Caenorhabditis elegans: one gene and its partner. The protein of the gene in region 2 purifies or fractionates together with the protein of the main gene of each other region. This does not show direct contact. Each region holds a gene or a part of one and is shown on either strand. Other genes may lie near its edges.

What was found.
Region 1: the proteins of T10G3.1 (region 2) and tbca-1 fractionate together in Caenorhabditis elegans (co-fractionation; one large-scale study listed by BioGRID). This does not show direct contact.

Annotation. Positions count from the first base shown.
Region 1 is NC_003279.8:2,310,339-2,313,550, reverse strand, and holds tbca-1 (Tubulin-specific chaperone A), read right to left. Parts: upstream 1,056-3,212; 5' UTR 1,042-1,055; coding exon 853-1,041; intron 802-852; coding exon 655-801; 3' UTR 594-654; downstream 1-593. Other genes in the region: eif-2gamma (protein-synthesizing GTPase), read right to left, coding at 1-43, 88-176, 231-240; 5-cytosine rRNA methyltransferase nsun-4, read right to left, coding at 1,506-1,709, 2,377-2,452, 2,495-2,697.
Region 2 is NC_003283.11:13,468,311-13,475,603, forward strand, and holds T10G3.1 (uncharacterized protein), read right to left. Parts: upstream 5,370-7,293; 5' UTR 5,216-5,369; coding exon 5,071-5,215; intron 2,495-5,070; coding exon 2,337-2,494; intron 1,751-2,336; coding exon 1,532-1,750; intron 1,479-1,531; coding exon 1,380-1,478; intron 1,334-1,379; coding exon 998-1,333; 3' UTR 756-997; downstream 1-755. Other genes in the region: F25H9.7 (Succinate dehydrogenase assembly factor 3), read left to right, coding at 129-205, 262-382, 429-494, 546-695; T10G3.8 (Cyclin-dependent kinase inhibitor), read right to left, coding at 6,023-6,063, 6,109-6,166, 6,211-6,264, 6,402-6,606, 7,032-7,201.

The DNA of each region.
Region 1 (3,212 bases), on a different chromosome or scaffold from region 2:
GGCCAATAGTTCCGATATTAATCGTGGCTTGTCGAGAGATAACCTGAAAAATAACTCTTTAACTCAAAAATTATTGATTTTCAGTACCTCCTCGGTGAGTGGGTTCAAATTATCGACTCCGACTTTGTCCAAATCTTGTTTCGCAAGCCAGCTCTGGCACTTGTCCTTTTCAGCTTCTAAATTAAGAAAGAATTATGAAATTTTCTTGAAACCGAAAAGCTAACACTTACCAGAAGCCATATTTTTTGTTTTTATGATCCCAGTTGAGTCGATTATTGATCTTTAAAAAATTATCATTATAATTAATCGAAATTACTCAAAATTAATTGAAAATCCATAAAGATTGCATAGAAAACAGGCTAAAATTGGATAAAATTAGAAATGGGTTAAAGGCGCATGGGAGTGGTTGGAAGGGTCTCGATGCGATTTCGTGTGTCGATTTACGAGCTCGAATTTTATGTTTTGCTTTTTAGCGCGAACCAGGCAAAAATCGTTGAATTAACGGACATCTGTATATTTTTCGTATGGAAATATTAGCGAAATTGCTTCTTAAAATTATTTATACGGCATTATAAACCATGTATTCAAGTAAAATGCAATAATTATTCATCATAAATCACCGAAAATCCCAAAATAACAAAAGAGTATCATAAATTAAGCAGAAATGGAGTCCACAAGCGTCTTCGCATTGACGAATTCTGCGGCTTCCTCCGGATAATTCCCAGAAGCAATCGATTCACGGAGGTCGGCCACAGCTTTTTGGAGACGTGATTGAGAATCGCGGACCATGTTGGCAGTTTCCTGAAAATATTTTAATTTCGTATACTCGTAAATCGGATTATTTCAAAAAACCTTAACAATATCCTTCGACTTCTTGGCAACATACTCCTCGTCCTCGTTGGTGGCGTCGGCGGCGAGTTGGGCAGCCTTCTGCTCCTCCTTCACAACTTGCTTCTCGTAATAGGCGACTTCTTTGACGAGACGTTGCACGGTTCCCGTCTTGATTCGGAGCGCTTTCAGCTGATCGGCTTGGGTCGACATGGCGGCGGGAGGTTCTGCAATGTGAATTTTTGAAACAGAGAACGAGATTGTGAGCTTGCTTTTATGGACTAAAAATCGATAGAAAAAGGCGCAATACCACCGAAAATGTTGTGCTCAATGAGCCGAAAAAGGACGGGAAAGCGAGCAGATGGTCAGACACGCTCGGCGATTTCGAAATAAATACAAATTGACCGCTGTCTGTTGGGCGACACAGGTTCCCGCCAAAAAATCGACTGTTCAAATGATTTCGCAATACATACATAGAGAACGAACAAGAAGGATCAATGAAAAATTCTATGAATTTGAAATTAGGTACTGATGGAACGGCAGATGCACCCATGGGGGTACTGCATAAATAATAAAATTTTAAAACAAGACATAAATTTAAAAATTCAGATTTAAAAAAAACAAACAAAAAATAGCAAAATCTAGAAATTTAAAAAAATTCATCAAATATTAAAAATCTATTGCAATCTGGTCAGTTTGCAAATATACATTGGTCCAAAGTTAGAGGGTAGAAACGGCACGACGAGGGCTCCCAGTGGAGTGTCATGGAAACGATAGAGGCCTGATGACGTCATATGGGATACGAGTTGATGTAGGGATTCCTCGACGGTCACGATTCCAAAGTCATTGCGTACGACGGCTACAGCGTTCTCGACGACTGCCTGAAGAAATTTGAATTAGCATTTTTGAGCTGTTATTTCGACAAAAAACCCCGGTCTCGACACGCCAGAAGTACTGTAGCCGCGAAAGTACGCAATCACCGGATCCTACGAAAAAATGCATGCAGAATTTCGGGATTTTTTTTGAGGGAAAATGTTGGGATCGGGCGAGAGTTGAAGCCAGAATCAAATTTTTAAACGGAAATCGTCAAAATTTGAAATTTTGATTTGATTTTCTCAACTGTTTAGTGAAAATTCGAGATTTATAGTGTTAAAAGAAACGATTTCTTCACATTTTAAACTTTTGTGAAACTATCAGAGCAAAATTTGAGCATTTCGGGGTACTGTAGCGGTGAAAATACGCAAACACGGCAGGGAGCGCAAAAAAAAATGCAGAATGCGATTTTTTTTAAACTAAAATTGGAAAATAGCCGAATATTGTTTTGAAAAATTGAGTTTTTCACGTTTTTTGTAAAATTTTCATCGATTTTTCATCAATTTTCGAATTTTTTACAAATCGAGAAAAAACTATATTTGTCATCATTTTTCAAGGAGTTTTTCAAAAATCGATGCAACAAAAAATTTGGAACTACAGTACTCCTTAAAGGCGCATATATTTTCCTATTTAACAAAAAAATTTGTCGTGCCAAGACCAGGTTCGAGCGAAAACCTCGTTTTGGCTTGGTGAGAGTGTGCACGTCGAGTAGACAACCGAGCCACCAACTTTTACAGATCGCAGTGCATTTCTGAAAGGAAAAATAATTTGAGGGAAAGCCGAGGATCCTTACACAAGAATCTTGGTCTGAAGAACCGGAAGATCAAGCCTCTGCTGAGTGGATCCTGTGCTGAAAAGGTTTCCGTCGTCGGTGCTGACTGATAGACGATCCGTCGAGCACGGAACATCGACGAGCACTTTATCGTAGGCCTCGAATTCATCCCAAGTTTTGACGTCGGACGCGTCCTTGCGTTTTAGGACGAATTTGTCGATTGTCTGCAGGAAAATTTTTGGAGTTTTAGCTAATTTTGGAGGGATTTATATTTAAAAAAAAGAATTTTCGACATTTTTTAATCGAAAAAAAAAACTCTAATTTCAAAAAATTGTTTTATTTTCTGATTTTCCTCAAAAGAGCAGAAAAAAGTTGAAATAATTCGTATTTAATTCAATTTTCTCACTGAAAACCCAATTTTTGAGGTGTTTAAATTGGAAAAATTCGAAATTTAAATCTTGAGAAAAATTCACATTTCTGAATGAATTTTCAGGTGTTTTTAACGAAAATCGTCATTTTTTCAAGTAAATTCTAGAAAATCGAGTGAAAATTTCAAATGTTGGTTTTTTTAAAGAAGATTTCAAACTATGGAAAAAAGTTAAGTGAAATTTCGAGAAAATTCTAGTAATTTAAGCAAATATTCGAAAATTTTGGAAATTTTTGAGCCATTTTTTGGTGAATTTTCGGATTTTAAATTTTAAAAAAATTCCGAATTTTAAAGAATTTTTTTGCGAAAAAA
Region 2 (7,293 bases):
GAAAAAATATTCCGAGATTATGTTTTTCCGAGAGGGCTACACGACCGAATGTGTGCGTTTTCTAGGCCATTTTGGCGTGTACTCCACTCGGACTCACGTGCATTTTTATTTTATTTTTTGTTTTTACAATGAAAGCTGCTCAACAAGCTGCAAGGGCCATTAATCCCGAAAGATTTCCATTGTATTTGTACAAAAGCATTCTTAGGTAAATTTCCGCTCGTTAAAGTATCTTTTTATCTAAAACAAATTCCTGATTTTCAGACTTCATTATGGATTGCCGGCTCAAGCTCGGCTCATGGGCGATACATATGTGAAAGATGAATTCAAAAGACACAAAACGGCAAAACCGGAGTTTGTGAAGCCATTCATCACAGAGTGGACGGTATGTCGATGGTGAAATTACGTTAAAAAAATTAATTGTTTTTAAGAATTATTGTGTGATGCTGTCCAAACAATTATCGAGCGCTGGAATTCGAAAAGGAAACATTGGAAAAGTTAGTTATCTTGTCTTATTATTGGTTCTTAAAAATTTTTGTTTTTTTCAGGATTTAGACTCGGATAAAATGGAGCAACTCAGCAATGAGCACATTCAACAATTGGTAGAATTGAGGGTAGAAGCCGATAAGCACATGGGACGAGACGATTTTCTTCAAAATCTTCAAAATGTCACGGAAAGTCGAGAAAAGCCAATATAGAAGATCCTTGCCGATTTCTTTAAAGAACTGGTGTAGAAATTGTTGTTAGTTGCAAAGTTTATATAAACATTTCATTCAAAAATTGACAAATCAAATGTAAAACAGAAAAATCTATCGTCAATGCTTGATTAACAAACTACTACCAACACTGGAAGAGCCAGAGAGAAAATGCTTTTGATTTTTCATAGCATTTGATTAATATGACGATTTGTATGACAGTTTATCGATAAACAGACGAATAAGATCGTGTACAGGAATATTGATAAGGATACCCGTTTCAGAGAAAATCAAAAAATACAAATCTACTTTTGGAAAGCATAAAAAGTGCCAAACAAATTCAGATATTCTCCATATGTCTTCTTGATTTTCGGCGAATTTGGCCAATTGTCAACTTGGCAATAGGTTTTACGCATCAATTTGTAATAGTAGACAAGTTTCTCGGCTCTCCAATTACTACATCTTCTGAACATATCGGAAGATGTATCTCTGGCTTCTCCACCTCCACAATACTCTTTTTGTTGCTCATTTCGTTGACGGACAAGTCTATAGTACATTGTAGTTTCTGCTTGAAGTTTTTCAATAACTTCATCACTCAATTTTTCTTTATTTGCCAAACATTCCTCCTCAGGTTCTTCATTCTGAAAATGTCCAATTTTAGATTTCTTCTCAGAACGGAAAATCTACCTCCGTATCCTCAGTAGCTGGTGGCGGGGGTAGATCATCTTCATCAATGTCTCCCTCAAACTTCGGAACTGTTGTAGACACTGAAATCCATGCTTTTGCCTGAATTTTAAACTTCTATTTATCATTGATTTCAAATCTCTAGAAAATATCACCTCTGCACTAGCTTGCTGATCAGACGGTGTTGTTGAGTAGTAGGAAGGATCTTCACCAACGACAATTGGCTCAGATGATCTATCCGTAGTAGGTGTAAGTTCATTTGAAGTCGGTTGAACTACATATTCAACTTTTTTGTACATATCATCGTTAGCGGTTAATGGTTCTGTAGGTGCTGGTGATGGATGTTGATCTGGTTCATGGACAAGCTCAGCAGTCTAAAAGTCATTTTGAGATTTTGTTGCAAATGAAAAATCTTAGACAATTTGAGGGTTTAAATGTTTAATTTAAAACTTACGAGCCGCCGAGAACTCAACATATGGTAATTCCGTCATTTGCCAAACGAGAAGCGCACAGAGTTGGTCGGATGGGTCTCGCCACGAGAAAAAAGTCGATGACAGTACAAACTTTTAAACAAATTTTCGCTGTGAGACCGATACGAATCCATGTCCATGTGCCTTTAAGCACGCGTTTCATGTACATAATTGCGAAATTTTAATACAGTAATCGATCACTTTTTGACAAACTATAATTTGCTGTAGTAGTGAGAAATAAATGGCGTTTCATAAGTTTAAAGAAATAATGGGAAAGTGGTTTTTGCACTATTTATTGTGCAATTTGTGACATAAGAATACGATAGCGGGTCTCGACACCATCAAAATTGAACAGTTGTTTTTATTTCTTCTATTTGTTTTTCTTGGTTGCGCTGTTAATCTCAATTTTTGAGAATAAACCTAAATGGAAATTTCCCATAGGCTGTAGAACTACATAATAAACTTTATATTCTAATAATTGTGTTATTACCTGTTCCGTAGAGACCAATTCTTGATTTCCATCATTTTCAGCTTTAACTCTCTCCACTTCTCTTACAGGACTCACAGTGACCTCAGGTGCTGAATGTGTTGTGTTATCATCAATTAATCGTATCTCAATTCTTTCAATCGGAGCATCTAATCGTTGAACTGAAAATACTTCACTTAACTAATATTGTGTTGTTGCTTGAATTTCCGGCAAATACTCATTGACTCCAAAATCATTGACTACCTTTTCTCATTGCCTACTCTTTCTCATTGCCTACCATTTGGTCATTGTCTACTCGTTTTCTTCATCAGTCAAGAGGCGCGTACAAGGACCGTATTCCAAGAACACATCAAAGGTACATCTACTCAATTTGTTCATTCATTCAAAGGGTATACATAATTACAATCTTTCAATCTGTACACAACATTTCGGGCAACAATTAGTAGTAGCTGAGTCATGTTTTAATTTATATTAATTTTGATAGGACACGCAAAGGCAGGGCAACATTCATTAAAACATTCATCAATATTAATAGCAACAATAGCAACAAAAAACAACAATTAAAAATTTGAAAAAAAGTGGCATAGAACGTAAAATCAATAACAATGAAATTTGGCATAAGAAACATGCGGAGTCGGAGTCAATCACTCGTTTTCTGCTTTTGAGCATATAGGAACATGACGCCGTAGTATCAGACGTGTCAGACAAGGATGCACTGGAGTTAATAGTGGCTTTCGATCTAAAAATGAAATAACCTCCAAAACTCTCTGAAATGAGTATTTTCAAACTGACGTATCTCAAAAAATACACATCTGGAAAACAAATGTCCAACTAACAAAATGATCAGAAATATTTTTTCTCTCTAATTCAATAGTTTTTATTTCCACTATTAACTCCAGTGCATCCTTGTCTGACACGTCTGATACTACGGCGTCATGTTCCTATATGCTCAAAAGCAGAAAACGAGTGATTGACTCCGACTCCGAATGAATTTCTTATGTCAAATTTCATTGTTATTGTTTTTACGTTCTTTGCCACTTTTTTTCAAGTTTTCAATTGTTGTTTTTTGTTGCTATTGTTGCTATTAATGTTGATGAATAATGACTGTTGCCCTGCCTTTGCGTGTCCTATCAAAATTAATATAAATTAAAACATGACTCAGCTACTACTAATTGTTGCCCGAAATGTTGTGTACAGATTGAAAGATTGTAAATATGTATACCCTTTGAATGAATGAACAAATTGAGTAGATGTACCTTTGATGTATTCTTGGAATACGGTCCTTGTACGTGCCTCTTGACTGATGAAGAAAACGAGTAGACAATGAGCAAAGGGTAGGCAATGAGAAAGAGTAGGCAATGAGAAAAGGTAGTCAACGAGCAACAAGTAGGCAATGAGAACAGGAAGGCAATCAGAACAGGTAGTCAATGATTTTGGGGTCAGAGTATTTGCCTGAATTTCCACATGTTTTCCTCTCACTCCAGAGCCTCCTAGACACACAAAAAACGATTCCAAGGACATTATTTTCTCAAAAAAAAATTTATTTCTGATTATGTTGTTTTCTTCTTCAAATCGAAGAAAGAGATATATGTGTATGAGAGAAATCAACTGAGCAATCGGTAGTGCACGTGATATGAGCACAGGGAACATGTCGAGCATCAGAGTTGTTGTTATTGAAAATGGATAAAGTTTCGAAAAGTGAGTGAGTGGAAGGGAAATGTGTATTCTTGACGTTTTATGACTCATACAGATATGTCAGGAAAAAATTTGGTAATTTGCCCAATTTTCAAAAATTGGTTTCTTGGGAAACCTCGAGACTTTCTGTAAATCTGAACCTATAAAATGTTCGAGTAAGAATAATACAACCAGTTTTAAAATTTGAACAATAGGTTCAAAAAATTTTTTTGCAGAGTCAATATTATGGTAGAAAAAACTGAGTTCCCCATTTTTCGAGAGGAAGCAAATTTTTTTGAAACTTTTTTGCAACGTTTCAATGAATTATACCTTTAAAGAACAATTTTTTTCATCTAAAATCGTCATAAATATTTGGAAATTTTTTTGGATCATTCTCATTAAGTTCGATAAAGGGATGTCGTAAATCCAGAATAAATCGTTGACCGAGTTGTTTACTTTTTCTAGGTCACATAGTAGACCGGTAAAGTACACGTGGAAAATATATTTGAAACCAAAGATTCAATTCTCTGAAATTCTATAAAAATAAAGAAAAATCACAATTGAAATTATTTTGCAAGAAATTAAAAAATTTCTTTTTTAACAAATTATTTTCTTTTTCCAATGTTTATAATCGATGTAAAAATTTTTATCCAATTTTTTTGCCAACCTTGCACCAATTTGCAACGAAAGTTGAGGCAAAAACCACTTTAGTTCATAAAATAGAGCTTCCTTAAAAATTTCCACATACCCGGACCTCTCATCATTCCATTGTTTTGGAAGAATTCTAAATAAGATATTGGTTTTTTTGCTGATACTTCTCATTCTCAACACGTCTTGCAAAAACTTGGCTCACGCGATCCTAGGAAAATTGGAAATTCCATTTAAAAACCCGATTGTTATTTTCAAAACATCACATTCTCACATCATTGTTCATGAATGAGAAATGAGACCAAAAAGAAAGAGGAAAAAGAAGATGTTCGTGTGAAGACGACAATGATGATTATGACATTTATCTATTGGTCTACATCTAATGTTCTACAATATGGACCTTGTTGGCTCGAACCTGTGAACGTCGGATGAGTCGTCGTTACATCTTCAGATCTTCTGGATTCTAGATTATCATCCTCTGTTCCATCATGTCCTACTGGGCTTGTTTTGACAATTGAACACAGAAGTATTAAACAAAGGGAGAATAGGTAATAGTTCATAAGTGATGTGAGATGAATAATGAGACAACCTAGGGGGATCCTCACGAATGCTACAAGATGAATAGAGAATCGAGTGAGACGACGAAGACGACGAAGACGGAGAAATTGTTGAGCAGCTGACACATGTCGTCGGATGGAAGAGCCAATATTATTGATCTGATTTGACCTTACCTTTCTTCTTGTTGTTTTGACACCTGATTCTTATATTGACGTCAGGAACAAGAAGAGGAAGCAACGAGGAGATGACAATGAAGATCTGTGTGATTTGTTGTTTTAATATTGTTAAGCTCTAGTTTTACTCTATGACGTTGCAGTCACATATTTTTTATGGATTGTAAAATACCTACCAAAATTTTAGATTTTTTAGTCACAAATTTCACTGGAGGATAACAAACATTTAACTAAAATTTTGTTAAAGGTAGAGTAGCGTCAGTCTATAAATATTTCACATCATCACTGGTGACTTTTTTTAAGAGGTCGAACAATATCCCATAATTCATTGAAAACTTACATCATCACATTCTTTTATCCAGTTTCTCATTATATTAGGAGCAACTATAGAAAAATTAGTTTTGCAATTTTCAATGTTATGAAATATTTTGATTGAACTGAGTGAGATATGGACTGTCAAAGTAAAATGGTCGGGTGCAAGTCTAATAGAGGAAATTCGATTTTTGTTAACTTCGCAATAAATATATTTATAATATGTTATTTACTTACAAATTATTAGTTATTGAATAATTTAGGTTACATTGTAACAGGTTATAAATTATCTTGATTGACAATTTTAGAGTAGGAAATTTCCAATCACTTCTGTGGAATTGACACTCCTCTTCTCAACGGAATTGCTGAAACTTCTAGATTAACTCTTCATCATGGTCTTCTAAGCTTACGATTCTTTCGCAAATACGCTGCAGTCAACGATTCATCGGCTACCGTCACAAAGTTTGGCTGAAACCGTTCTTTTTCAATTCCATTAATTTGATCTATTGTACCTTTAGACTTGGTGGAGCACTCAATTTTGGAAGAGGGGCTTTCGAGGAGGATGACTGAAACAAAAGAAATGTGCTTTGAACTTCCCCTCTCTACGTGCATTTGGTTCAATTAATTTCGAAAAGAAAACAAAAAGAAATAACATCAGATAGTGTTGAATTTCCCTAATTTCCTGTTTTCCACAACTTCTTACCCGCTTTCTTTGCGTTGGAGTTGACAATTTACGTAACGGAGATGGCGATTTTCGAGTAATTACACGGACTCGAGGTTGAGGAGATGCATTCTTTTTTACTTCATTTTTTGGTACTAATGAAGTTTGACGACGAAGTTTGAATCTATCATGATTCGAAATCAACAGGGAATCTTCATTTTTGGAATCTTCAAGTTCAATGCCAGGGCTGAAGATAATAAGTATGAACATCATATTTTTCATAATAAGACAATGAAACGGGATATGAACAGAATGAAGTACTTGTTTTCAAGAAGAGTTTAGGTTTATTTTCTACATACTGTAAACATTTTCAAAGAAGAGAGGAAGAAATAAAAAAAAATTGCGCAGGTCAAGCATGAACGGTATATAAGTCTACGCAATTTGGAGCAGAGTTTGGCTAAAATTGAAATACATAGGCAATGTACATCGAATACCATAAGTAGAGCTCAGATTGTTGAATTCCTCGCATATGTTTGAAGATTTTCATAAACATTTGAAAATTATTCTTTAAATACGTCATTTTAAAAATACTTCCGGAATGTTATTTTTTAATAAACGCGATTTTTCAAAAATCTTCTTATTTAACACGGTTATAATTTTTTGAAAGCTTACATCATCAACATTTCCCCATCAAAATGGTCTACAATTTTGGCGTCAGGAGAGAACAATTCTTTGAAAATCGCTTCCATCTTGACTTCGGAATCTTTTCGAAAAAGGTGTTTCTTTTTATCAACATGTAGAGAGCCCGTAGATGAAGTGGTTGAAGATTTTCTGGTTAGATGCTGCAAGATGATATTCATAAAAAATAAGGAAAAGGTGCAAAAATCTCGTATTCTATGGGGAATTCTCATGTTTCTTTATTGTGTTTTGAACG